2 separate regions of the Mus musculus genome follow, and region 2 is reported to be linked to region 1. The links are microRNA targets in miRTarBase. Many come from high-throughput screens and were not tested one by one. Region 1 holds a microRNA gene; the other region holds the end of a gene's coding sequence.

Evidence for each region. Region 1 holds the annotated microRNA mmu-miR-497a-5p (CAGCAGCACACUGUGGUUUGUA, at 4,202-4,223, shown strand). A microRNA usually pairs through its seed, bases 2 to 8, with sites in the 3' UTR of a target mRNA and lowers its output. Matches are read on the target gene's strand: a 7mer-m8 pairs with bases 2 to 8, a 7mer-A1 pairs with bases 2 to 7 and ends in A, and an 8mer does both.
Region 2: the mRNA of Reck is a reported target of mmu-miR-497a-5p. Seed matches in the 3' UTR shown: 8mer at 3,805-3,812.

What each region holds. Positions count from the first base shown.
Region 1 is chr11:70,230,529-70,238,816 of GRCm38, forward strand. Mir497 (microRNA 497) reads left to right here and starts at 4,189; the gene lies at 4,189-4,272. It overlaps 0610010K14Rik (RIKEN cDNA 0610010K14 gene), which reads right to left and starts at 7,386. Exons shown (of 6, transcript NM_145758.1): 1 at 7,256-7,386; 2 at 7,003-7,097; 3 at 6,349-6,450; 4 at 5,496-5,683; 5 at 5,168-5,272; 6 at 4,676-4,936. The coding sequence starts at 7,276. The coding sequence ends at 4,932. Mir497b (microRNA 497b) reads right to left here and starts at 4,288; the gene lies at 4,164-4,288. Mir195a (microRNA 195a) reads left to right here and starts at 4,514; the gene lies at 4,514-4,607. It also overlaps Rnasek.
Region 2 is chr4:43,942,777-43,947,908 of GRCm38, reverse strand. It overlaps Reck (reversion-inducing-cysteine-rich protein with kazal motifs), which reads right to left. Exons shown (of 21, transcript NM_016678.2): 21 at 3,103-4,765. The coding sequence ends at 4,544. Among named protein-coding and RNA genes, the nearest start is that of Glipr2, 12 kb to the left of the region's middle.

The DNA.
Region 1 (8,288 bases):
GGCTTCGAGCACCCGCCCGTCGGCTGCGCTTAGAGTCTGGCGGGACGCCGGGGTCCAGCGCGGCAAGTAGGCAAAGCTCGGCAATGTCTGCATCCTTCCACGAGAGGGCGGTCGAGCACCAGCCTCGCTTCGCCCCTAGGTCTCCTGGCTGGTGATGTGCTCAGACCAGTGAGCTGGATGCATTCGGTCCAGGCTACAGGAAACTTTCAGCTGCCTTCTCTTTCTGATAGTTTCCTCTGCACCTCTGTCTCTTTGTGGGGCAGTAGATCGAAGACAGAAGAGTTAGGGTCTCCGCAGGAAATTCAGGCTAGAACTCTTATGGAAGGCTTTGGAATGAACATAGTGGTTAGGATGAGATGGGGTCTTGAGCCTGGGAACACAGTTGTTTTGTTTTCTAATTTGATAGACCCTTCTACCCAGATGTTTGTAGACAGGAATTTTCAATGAACATTAATATGAGCATTGGTCGGAGTAAACAGAGAGGACAGAGGAGAAAGGGCAGGAGGAACCTGGTAGCTAAGTACTTCATTCAGAAGCTAGGCAGGGACCACACCCTTAGATTTTGTTTGGGGAGCCTTGGGATAGAAGGACAAGTTTCCTTTGAAGAAGAGGGGCAGAGCTGAACCCAGGTACAAAGCAGGAGCTCTTTGAGTTTGGGGTTTGGAGCATAGCAGTTGTGCAAGAATGGACCAGCATATCTAGGCCTGAGGCCTCTCCCTTCTGTTCTTGGGGGTGGAGTACATTTTGTTTGTTTTATTGGTTTTGATTTTTTTTTTTTTTAAGCAAACGTAGCAAACAAAACTGCAAACCAACTGGGGGTTGGGGATAGCTAGGGACCCTGGATGACGATGTGGCTTTACTTTGTGAAGATTATTTGGTCTCTATCCAATTTTCATCTCCAAATTTGAGGTGAAAACATTAAGGGCTTTGATGTCAGGACAGAGTTAGCTATTCTGAGTTTTGGGGTGTCACTTGCCATAGAAGTTATTGTAGTCAATAAGGCCTGTTTTTAGTCTCGACAGCTGATAGCAAATTGGAGGTGCGGGGCTGGTTTTAAAGATGTCTTAGTTCGGGGGTTTGGAGGGATTTGATGCTCCCATGTGAGACTGTCCATCTCTAATTTCTGGTCTACTGGGGGAGCATGAGTACGCAACTAATTTGGGGGACATAGTCTCTTTCCAAGTGCTGTTTCAAGGTTTGGATGAGATTGTTTGGGGACATAAAGGTCAACTTGGGGCTTTTTAGAGAGCCCAGTTACATTGAGTTGGTGGCAGAGCCAGAAGCTAGGAGAGGATCTGAAGGCTTTCTGTAGCTGAGAGCTTGATTGATGGGGGGGCAAAGTTTTGTATTTGAATCTTGTGGAAACTCATTTTGAGGGTTGGATATTCCTGTGAACATGTTTATGTGTGAAACTCCTCCACAGGAGAGAATTGAGAAGCCCCCCCAGGGTAGAAGGATAGTTTGGGGGGTATCCAGTTTCTGGGTGTTTTGCCACTGGCCACATTTGGTGAAGCTGAGAGGTGGGTCATAAATTGAAATTGATTTGGAGGTTCACCTATTCTAAAGCACACTTCTGACTTAGGTTATCTTTTGCTGATAGTCCCCTGGCACCCCAGATTGTAAAAAAAATTAGTGAACCCCCAAATAAGGCCAGAATTTGAAGGGTGAAGCCTGGAAAAAGCAGTGTGGTCCATCATAGACTCACTGGAATATGACCTGTTGTGCTAAGGGGGGAAAGGTGGCTTCATACTCTGAACCCCGATTTCTTATGGAAGAAAAAATCCGTTTGGAGGAGATGGGGTGTCTCTTGTTAAAGTGGGTACTTTCTGACTAACAGTGCTGCTGAAACTGGCAAGGAAAGGCTGTGATGGTCTACAAGGGGGGGGTGAATCTTGCACCCTGATATTTTAAGATAAGAGCCCCAAAGAGAAAGCAGACAGAGGATTGGGAATGAGGGTGAACTGAGAGGCGGGGGAGGGGTTTCCAACGGCAGCAGGGGCTAGAGGGTAAGCCAGGCCAGATATTCCCGCCTAGGTCCCTGCTCTCTTCGGCTCTCCTCCCCTCTCTCCCTCCCACCGCCCACCCCCCCAACTCAAGGAAAAAAAAACTGCCTGTGCAATAGCAATGGCAGATTCCAGTCCTCCAGGCTTTCCTAAACCACCACCGAGACCAGCCAGGGGGGAGGGGAGGGGAGGGGAGGATCGGGCTTTCCTGCTTCCTTGAGACAGGGGCAATGAGCTTGACCTCTTGGCCCCTAGCCTTCTAAAGAGTGTCCCCCGGTCTGGAAACCAGGTGTCCTGGACCCTAGCCCCCAAGCGGGGGGGCCTGGAGAAACGGGGAGGAGGAAGGAGGGAGTGACTTCCAAAATTGGCATCGGGACAGAGCAGGGCTGGCGGGAGGCAGGAGAAAGACAGAATTTTCCTGAAAAAACGGGGGTATCTAAGGACCCCAAATTTGGGTAGCTAGTTCAGGACCATCTTCCCAACATCCTAGATTTTTTTGGGATTTTTTGGGGGCCCCGGGATCCCTCTAGATGGGGTGAGGAATGTAGTGTTGGGGGAATCTGACTGGGGCAATGCAGCTGCCTCTCCCGCCGAGTTGGAGACGGATGGGCTGGGACGGGTTTTGGGGGGGTGTCCCCAGTTCTGACTGGGAGTGGAGGAACCCCTCCAGAGCTCTCTTGTGGGGGTCCCCCACCCCAGGGCACTCCCCAGTCCTTGAGCCAGCTGAGAGGAAGGAGGCCAGCGATGCGACTGGGGCGTCTCTTTTCTCCTGCACCCCAAATGTGAGGGATGCACCCCAAAATTTGCTCCTTTCAAAATAGGGGACCAGGATCTCAGGGGAGAGTAGCTGAGGTAAGTGGGGAGGAAAGTGTCCCCTGTTTTCAGGAGAGACGTGGCGGTTGGGGGGGAGGTTTGGAGGTGCGTGCTGGGGTGGGGTTGCGCCTTGTAACTCTTGAAATTGGGGGGATGACCAGAGAAGCTTTCTCTTGTACCCCTAAGACGTAGCACCTCATACTGAAACCAAAGCTTGAGACTTGAGAGCCCCCAATATTCCTACAGACATTAGGACAGTGTTTGCTTTTTTTTTTTTTTAGCCCCACAAAAGCTTTGCTGGGATGGGAGCTGGGGGACAGCAGTTGTTTCTGGGGGTCCAGGAGGGTGCAAGGAGCAGGAGGCGTTGGCAGGGCTTGATATAGGTGATCTGGTAGTCTTGGAGAGGGTCTGGCATACTAGGGGGGCCTAAAAAGATTGCTTCACACACCATCTTAAATCTTTTGATTGCTAAGAGTTTTGGGGGGGTGTGTCGGAAGCCTGGTGGTGCTAAAAGGTGGGATGAGATATGGGAGGTTAATATCTAGGGTTTACAGAGTTTTGTTTTGTTTTGAAATTTCCAGAAGAAACTTTTGCCTTCTGGGAGGTTCTTTTTAAAATCAAGTCTTGGACAGGAGGAAAGGGCTATGGGAAGGCCTAGGGTTGGGGGTGGGGAAAAGGCATGTTTGTCTTTGCTTAAACGTGGCTCTCAGGGGTGGGCCTGCTTGCCTGGGCCTGGTGAATGGGCTAATGAGTGTTGCTGTGTGGGTGGGGCGTGGGTCTTGGGGGACCATGGGGAATGGAAGCAGCACTTGGGGTTGAATACTTTGCCCTCTGGTCCAGATGAGCCTCTTCCTGGGCTCTGCTGCATCCCTTTCTCCCTGGCCTCCATTTCCTGCCTTTGGCCTCCATCTTGTGGCAGGCCCAGGGCCCAGGGCGACTTCCGGCCCCCCTCTCTCAACCGTGTTCCAGCCCCACCACCTCTGGACTGCCAACTCCCAACCCTGCTGTCCTTGGCCCTGTGTCTTCCAGCATTTCTCTTGGGTTCTGACCTAGGGAGGGAGGAATGGACACAGGAAACCTTAGGTCCCTGCCTTTGTGGGAGGCAGTTTGTTGGTCTTCCCCAGTCATCCCGTTTCCTAAGGATCCCCAGAGCTGAATTCCTACAGAGGTGAAGAATGCTCCAAGCTTATCACATTGGACTCATCTGCCAGGGCCCTATCCTTTGCCTGCTAAACTACTTTTGCTGGTTCCTGATTGTTCCCCCCCCCCAGCTTTTTTGGGGGGCCATGTTTGCCATTCACACCTCTGTCTCACTCTAGGTGGGGGTCTTCACGGCACTGCCTGTGCTGTCTTCCTCTCGACCCACCCCAGTCCTGCCCCCGCCCCAGCAGCACACTGTGGTTTGTACGGCACTGTGGCCACGTCCAAACCACACTGTGGTGTTAGAGCGAGGGTATGGGAGGCACCGATGAGCCTGGCCCTGGGAGGCCACCCTGGAGAAGCAACACACACACACACACACACACACACACACACACACACACACCGTCTAGGGTATTGTGATGAAGTTCTTGCAAGGTGGGACAGGAGACACTGGAAAGAGCCCCTCTGCAACCCCCAGGTTGTCTGATACCAGTTATCAGGAACCCTGGTAATGAGTTCTGGCCCCACAGAGCAAAGTAGAGTCTTTGTTGCCCACACCCAACTCTCCTGGCTCTAGCAGCACAGAAATATTGGCATGGGGAAGTGAGTCTGCCAATATTGGCTGTGCTGCTCCAGGCAGGGTGGTGAGAGCTACTGAGAAGGGGCCAAGCCCCGAGGGCGAAGCAGAGGAGAGGGAACGGCAGCTGGCAGCACCATGTTGAGAGAATCTTTTTTAATTATAATTTTCTGTATAAAAATGTCCATCACACAGAAGTCAAAGGGCGAGGGCACATGGTTATCAGGAACGAGGTGGATGGCTCCAGCAGCCCTCTGACCCTCTCTCAGGCAGTCCTTGCTTAGAGTCCCAGGTGATCCACAGGTCCAGGGTGAACAATGAGGGTCAGAGGTGGAAGGCTCAGCAGGAGAGGAGAGGAGCATCAGCGGAGGTGGTGAGGAGGCCAGAGTCCAGGGTCAGGCTGTCTGGAACAGGAAGGAAAACGGACAGAGATGGAGCAAGCGTGGAGGATTTTTCCAAGAAAACCCTCACCTCCTCAAACGCCGTATTACTAACTGACCCATTCCCCTGCACTGAATCTTCCTTCTGAGGCCCCTGCACCAGAAAGGGGTTTTCTGTGGGGACCCTCCCCTACCATCCAGGTGAGTATGTTCCCCACCCCCAGCCAGCGTGGGAGGAGGAGGACTCCTACCCTGGTCAAAGTTGAGTTTCTTGGCTGGAGGAGTTTCTCCTAGCCCTTCGACATCCACCAGGTCACTGTTGGCGTCGGAGTCGTTCAGAGCACTGAGTGTCACATCTGGGAGGGGGCATAGGCTAAGTTCTAGGTTTCCCTGACTGCTGTCTTTCCCTCCTCCCAGTCTGCCAAAGCTTCATGCTCTACACATCCCTCTACCCACTCTGGAATCACCAGCGTACAGAAGAGAAGCGTCTCTCCTTCTTTGACCCAGGCCCAATTCTCTTATTGAATCTCAGATAGGACCTTTAACCCCTACCCTAGGCAGCAACTCCACAGCCCTCACCAGCCTTCTGTTTCTTTATGGGAGGAACCCCAGCTTCAGGGACACTGGAGCTGCTGGGTGGAGGGGCGTTTGGAGGTGAGAGGACACCGGACGTCATCTTCTTGGGTCCTTTCTTGGGTGACTCAGCTGGAAGGGGGATGCCGGAGTCTTCATACACTTTTCGCTTCACAGTGGTCTTTATCTGAGCCCTGAAGATGAGAGAGAGCAGATTAGGGTGTCATCAGAGAAGCCGAGGGAAGAGGGGAGGGGAGGGAATAATGGGCCACTCTGAAGGAATTCTAGGAGTTCCTTTGTAGATATCCAGGTCAAGGCCCCAGTTCATGTGTAATAAGGGTCCTCCCCCCCCCCCCCACGTTCAGAACTTTTGCATCCACTTAGGGCTAATAGATTAAGATGAATGGAGTCCCTGAACTGAGTGGCCAGAAAGGCCCTTTTCATGATCCTCTGGGAGAGATGCATGGTTTTGTAGGACCACCAGGTATGTTGTGGTGACATAAAGGTAGACTGAGACTGTCATAGAACCTGACCAACTAATTAGTTCAGAATGCATCCCCTGGACATGCCAGTTTCAAAGGATTTACATAAATAGCTAGGGAACTCTTATCATCAAACACAACCACTGAGTATCTGGGCACCATGAAAATAAAGTTCTCTGCAGGCCCTAGTGACCACTGCATTTCCTGATCTTCCGACCAACTGCCACAGTGACAGTCTCTCAGTCTTCAAGGAAATGCTAACAAAACTAGGAACAAAGTAGGAAAGATGCTGAGCTGGGAGTTCTGAGAGAGAACAATGGGTCAGGAGGAAGAAAGTTGCCCACCCTCCCCTTTCTCTGCCAGCCACCCTCCCTCACACTGTCCGTTCCTTGATGACACAGCTGATGTGATTAAGATCGTCCCCAAAGCGCTTCACAGCAGCCCTCAGCATCTCTATCTCCGTCTCCGTCCACTTGGCACTGTCGGAAGGGGAGAAGGGTGATAACAAAAGTGGAAGAGGGATGTGTGGAACCAGCCCACAGGCTATTCCGTCCACAGCCAGCAGCCTCTTCCCCCTAGTCTCTAGGGGCACCTTTCAAAGATTCATAAAAAGGACCTCCTTTTAAAAAAAAAAAAGCCCTGGGGACAAATCGCTGGCCACATGAAATTACATCCAGGGCCACTTGAAAACATCACTTCATCATGTAACAGCTTCCATAAACAACCCAACGGAAACCAATGAAACAAGTAGGGGCCTTACAAACACAACCCTTGAAAGATGTGTGGCAGCAGTTTGAGGGAGTCCACAGGGCTTGGGGTAGGTGGCAGACATTCTGTCGGTTTGCAGTGGAGGGCTGTGGCCTCGGTAGTCTCTTTACCTGTCATCCACTAATTCAACAATTACCACCTACACTGAGCTGGGCCAGGCACAGGGGAATTACTCTATCTCCCTGCTCTAGAGAGGGTCGTGTCTGTGACTTGAGTCCAAGCGTCTGATCTCGGAGTCCAGGTCCTAGGCTGGTCTCACGTACCCGGCAGGGGAAGAGTCCGAGACTGGATGCAGCTGCATCGTCAACTCCCCGAGCTTCGTGAAGGCGGCGCCGGCCGCGGAGAAGATCTCTCCAACCTGGGGGCGGAGCAGCATTACGGGGGGCCGGCAGCGCGCCGTCCCACCCCAGCCTCGGATCCGCCCGCCCCCCGCCCAGCGCGCACCAGCCGGGAGCCAGGCAGGGGGCCCACCCTCCCGTGGCCGCCAGGGAGCGCAGTCCGCGAGGGAGGTCGAACCTTGGTGGACGCTGACGTCATGGCCCCGCGCACCTCCTCACGGAGACGCTCCGCCGCCACCACCACCACGCGAGCTGGAAACCACGGAGAGCCCGGCAGCCGGCCGCTCGGGCTCCCGCGCAGGAAGTCCCGCCCTCCCTGCAGCTGATTGGCCGAGACCCGACCTCTCCCCAGTCACTCAAGGGGCCTCGCCGCGCGGAGGAAGACGAGGTGGAAGACGTTGCTTCACTTCCGGCTAGCTTCATTCCACTTCCGTCGGAGGGTCCGGACTCCTCGATGAGGCCGGTCTCAGCCCCTTCCAGCCCGGGCCCGCCCCTCCCTGAAAGCACAGACAGCAAGCTTAGGGGGAACCGCTTCTTTTTATTGTAGTTCAGAACGGGGCGCGGTCACCCTCGGTCTCCTCCAGAGGCTGGGCGCAGTTTTGCAGGGCCAGGGATGACGTCTCGCTAGGGTCACAAGTCCCAAAGGACGCCAGATGAGTGGGACGGAGTCTGCGGAGTCTTTAAATAGAGAAGGGGGCTGGGGAGGGAGAGGCGGACCGCGCTCTAGCGCACCATGTATTCCTTGCGCTTGTTGAGACGAACTTGGCAGAAGGAGAAGCCTCCGAGGAGGAGGTAGAGGCCCGCGGCGATGAAACAGTTGTAGCTGACTTGCTCGTACAGGTTGTATATGTTCTGAGGACCGTTCCTGAAGGTGGCGAGCGAGCAGGGAAATGTCAGCCATTCAGAGCATCCAATATGCAAGTTCTATGCATCAGACACCATGCTAAAGCACTTTAACTCCTATTAGTCTTCCCAAGAAGCATACCAAATGAATTCTATCATGGTAACCATTTTACAGAGGTAGACCAAGGAGCAGGAAGGCAAAATATTGGAAGAGGCCACATCTAAGCTGGTGGGCTTGGGTAGCCATGGAAACGTGGCTTGCAAGACTGCTCCTAAGTACATGCCTTTCTGTGTCTCTGTCTCTCGCGCTGGGGATTGAAACTAGGACCCTGCGTGCTGCCACCCAACTACTTTGTAGAGAGCAGCCC
Region 2 (5,132 bases), not on the chromosome of region 1:
TGCAACCTTCCTGCCAAAAGAAAACAGACAAGCAAAAAACATTCTTGCCATGGGAGCTGCAGTGTGCCCCACAGTACACCCTTTTGTCCACACATCTTTACTTGCAAATAAATGTTCACCGCAGTGAGTCATTGGTCTGGCTCAAGGCCTCTGGCTTCTGTTACACTTTCAATACAGGATCCTCACTGAGACTCTTCTCAGATATTCTGTGGTTGCCATGTGTGGTGGAGATCCTGCAGCTCTGGATCTGGAAGACCGGCCCCTTCACACACTCTAGCAGGTCATAGATGGGGTAGATGTTGGGGTGGACCAACTCAAAGCCCTGGATCTGAGCCTGGAGGGTAGCTAAACTGGTCAGCCTACCAGCTCTCCAATGAGCAACACCATCCAGGGTCAGCTCTCCCGTGCTGCCCAGCCAAGGCATAGGGCTACCTCTCCTGAGCCCACGGCCTCTTCTTTTCAATGGTGTTATAATATGCAATTTAGTGTGTTATTATTCAATCACATGCATATATGTATATGTGTATACACATATATTCCAAAATACAACCTGCTCAGTCTGTATAATGTTACATGTATCTAAGTTTTCCGGGCTGACAATTTGGTATAGGATAACCAACTCATGTGCCTCCCTGGGGAAGGCTATTTTTCCTACTCCCAACGTTCCTTAGGTATCTGTACTGGCTAGTTTTGTGTCAACTTGACACAGCTGGAGTTACCACAGAGAAAGGAGCTTCAGTTGAGGAAATGCCTCCATGAGATACAAGTGTAAGGCATTTTCTCAATTAGTGATCAAGGGGGAAAGGCCCCTTGTGGGTGGGACCATCTTTGGGCTGGTAGTCTTGGTTCTATAAGAAAGCAGGCTGAGCAAGCCATAAGGACCAAGCCAGTAAGCACCACCCCTCCATGATCTCTGCATCAGTTCCTGCTTCCTGACCTGCTTGAGTTCCAGTCCTGACTTCCTTGGTGATGAACAGCAGTATGGAAGTATAAGCCGAATAAACCCTTTCCTCCCCAACTTGCTTCTTGGTCATGATGTTTGTGCAGGAATAGAAACCCTGACTAAGACAGTATCTGAGGTCAAGTCTTCTTGAAAAAGAAAACATTTATTTTGTGTATGTCTGTGTGTGTGTGTGTGCATGTGTCACATGTGTGCAGGAGTTCACAGAGGTTAGAAGAGGGGCCTTTGGACCCCTGGACCTGGAGTTACAGATGATTGTGAACCACCTTGTTGTTGCTGGGCCTAGACCTGGGTCCTCTGCAAGGGCTATGAGTGCTCTTAACCGCGGAGCCATCTCTCCACACCCCTAACATAAGATCTTAGTTGTATCAACTGTGTGGTATCAGAAATGCTGAGGAGGATGAGAACCCCAGGAGAGAACTCACTGAGAATTTTGGCACGGTGCTTAGATGACAAGAAGCCTTGGACAGCCTTGAGGAAATGGGTCAGGAATCTTGATTCTTCTTCATCATTTATCATGTGACAGTTCTCCCAGTGGAAGGTGAGACACAAAACACAAGCTGTCCCATCTCAGGGGACAACTGTACAGGGCCTCCAAGTGTCTTCCAGGTGAGGGGAGACTTAAGGAAAGACAAGAGGCTGTCTATCTAGCGGACACTATTGAATGCAATTCTGGAACAGGAGAGGTGTGTGGGGTCTACAGCTTGGCTGGAGACAGAGGTGCCTACAGCAAAGCCAGAATGGTCACTTCTTCTTCTCCTTGGAAAAAATAAAGTGTTTTCATAGTAAGACTCTAGTAGGCAGAGACTGCAGAGACGAACGGAACCAGGTTGTGTACTCAAGAAGTGGAGTTTGCAGCTAAAGCAGCAGCTCTTTGCCATCTAACTTACGGACACTGCAGGGCCGCACTGGTTCTAACGCAGCAGTATCCCCCTTGACTAAGCCAGTTAGGGCCCTCACTCCCCTTGGCCAGTAACGAGCGTGGGAGCTTGACCCTGCCAGCCACAGAGAAATGTGGATGCATGTGGAGATGGTTCTGAGAAACAGTTCTTACCCATAAAAGCCACTGCTGAAAGAAGGGGCTCCCTGTGGCTCTTGCCACCTTATCTGCATGCTAGAACACTGAAGGTCTGTGACTATGACCCAAGCTACAGATGGAAGGCAGGTCCTTTTCATACCGCTACCTCAGCCAACCTGCCTTCCTCCTGCAGCAGGCCTTTCCCCTGCATTCTGCCTGTAAGCTTCAAGGCACAGGAATCTCTCCTCAGCTTACTTTTCTGCCTGTGGATCTCAGGATTACTGCTGGGGTAGGGGTGGGGGTGTCCCAGCAAAAACTCCATCTGCTCGGTGGCCGGGGAGCCATTATGATCTGTGCACGAGGCAGCTGGATGTCCACTTAAGCACAAGGGCTGTTGAGGACATTATGCCCCAAGCTAACCTGAGTCTATCACCATTTGGCAGCTCGTGTGATTACAGTCCCAGGGCAGGATCAGCTTTAGATCTCTCCTTTATATATTCCCTTGCCCAAACCCAACCCGACTCCCAGGCCATAGCATGCCGTACCCACCCTTCTGAGAGAAACCCAGCCAGTCCTGGCTCTTGTCTGTCCTCATGAGGACTGCATCATTCAAAACACTCATTACTTCTCCCCAAGACGCAGACACCACCACCCCGGGAATATTTTATATTCCCACCCAGAAGTTTTGCTCAGGAGCAGTCATGTGACTTCCTCTGACCACTAAAATGTAGCAGAAATGACTGGCACTTGGGAGTGGAGACTTCAGGAATAGCTGTGGCTCTGGGTTTTTCTCCCTTCTGTAAGGACACAGCAATGGGACAGTGTTGGGGACAGCTGCAGCTTTGGATGAGGGACACGACAGGGCTGGTGCGCTTATCCTAAGTAACTGATGGGATGAGCAGGCCCTCACTGGGAGACCCGCACAGTCATCTGTCCCCAAATGTATCCTGGAGCTGCAGCACGAGGCCAAGGGAGTAGACCTGCCTGTCTGTTCCTGTCTCGGAAGCTGCAGTCTGCACCGGACTCTGCTCTCTGGCCGAGCACTGCTTCCCTCTCCTACAGGCCTTGGCTTGGGAGGATGTCACTCCAGGACCTCTCCCTGTACAGTAAAGACACAACTCACTTAAGGGTAAGGAACTGTTTCATTCTCAATGTTCACATTGCTTGGAAGTACAAATAATCATATAAAATTACTTTTATTAAAATAGAAAGGCTTTCTAGTATAGTGCTGTATACTATATATAGAATATATATAGTATATTGTGGTATACTATATAGAGAATATACATATAATATAGTCTAGTATGTTGAAAACATTTAGACAGAAACAGGCAACTGTGACAGAGGTACATCGACATCGGCACTGAGATCCTCTGAAAGCATTAAGTGCCCACTTTCAACAACATTTTGGTATAATAAGCATATTGCTATATTTCAGAGGGTACATATAACACTGAAAAATACTTCATGTAAAATCTAAGTTCAGGTGCATACAAACAGGAAGTATTACATTAATAGCTTATTTCAAACTGTAAAACATTCAAAGTATCCAATTTCTTAGACAACATGCAAACATTTTACTATTTAGCCTGATATTTTAAATATATAAACCACATTCTTTATAATTCTATATCAAAGGAAAGTCGGACACACACTTATCCACACTGTGCACATTACAAAAAGCAGATGTGTCTTCATGAAAGTATGGGGCTAACACACATGATTGTCATTTTACAAATATGGCTATTCACCTTCATAATAAAATAAAAAATCATGTACTATTTACATGAACTCCTAATAATCTTACTTTTTGGCAGTTATATAGTAGCAGCAAGTGGTTTAAAGTCTGACCTTTAAACCTGTGGACTTGGTGAGTACTGGCGAGTGTATCTGGCTAACACAACACGGCAGGCATGACATAGATGCTTGGATGTTGTGGGGCCGCCCCCACTCACAGGCACAAATGACAACTGCTGAGAGGCCCAAGTGTGAGACAGGCACGAGTGTCACTTGGTCGTCTTGCTTTTGCTAAGCAGAGTAGAGTCCTGCCTTACATTTCTATGGAGTCAGCCTATGAGCTAGTGAGAATTCAATGATGTTTTTCTCCTCCGGCCCGCCCTGTCATGGCAGGTAGCGGCTTTTCACTGAGCCCTCAGCCTCCAGACACAGAAACAAGCACATGGCGGCCTCAGCACTCACAGGAACTCTGAGGAGACCAGGGCACCCACCCAAGGACAAAGGGGGCTGCCTCCTATAAAGTGACCATGCCATTGATCAGGGATGCTAAATTTGCTTTGGGGAAGGGGGGCCATCTACTGAGCGAGTGTGAACTGGCCAGGGATCCACCAGGAAGAGGCATCATCTTCATTATATTGGGAGAGTCTAATTTACCATTTTATAAACCAAGGCAAACCCCCTAATATTGGCAGGTGAAAAAAATACTGTGTGGTGCTAAGAGGTGCCACATGCCTTTGCTTGGTCACCAGCTAGCAGTCCTGAATGTCTTTCACAAGGTGGACGGCTGGGTGGAGGAAGGCTTTGCAGTTCCTCCCAGTTGTGGGTGGTCAGGGTCTAGTCCAGAGCAAGTGCACGGTGAGGCCCAGGCTGAGGAGGAGGAGCAGGGAGTGGAAGAGAGGCCTGCCCACAACAGCAGATGACGGGAGACTGCTGGAGACCTGCACTTGGGAAATGATGAGGGCCGAGAGTGGGACGTGGGACGCCAGCGTGGGGCTGTCGGAGTTGATGAGGGACTCGATTTTCTCTGCCTCCTTATTGCAGGCCTCAATCTGCAAGGGAAAGGAGCTTTCAACACAGAGCCTCTGCGCCTTCAGCAGGTCCAGGCAGCCACAGAGGCAGCTTGCTTTCCTCTGTCCCTACTGTCCGAGCCAGAGCTACTGCTAACGATGGGCTTAGCTTATTACACACATGTTAGACATCAATGCAAATTAGAAACGGCAACGCCACTGCCCTGGCCAGTCGGCCATTTGGGTTCTGTACTATAGCACAGCACACACTGCCTATGTCACTAGACAGCACGGCTACTGTTGGCACAGCTACAGGAAAGGCTTTCCCTCCTGCGTTAAAGGTGAGGACAGAGACAGGCTTGGACGGAGGCAGCTGGAACTGCTTCCATTCACCCACCTCCTTGAGTCC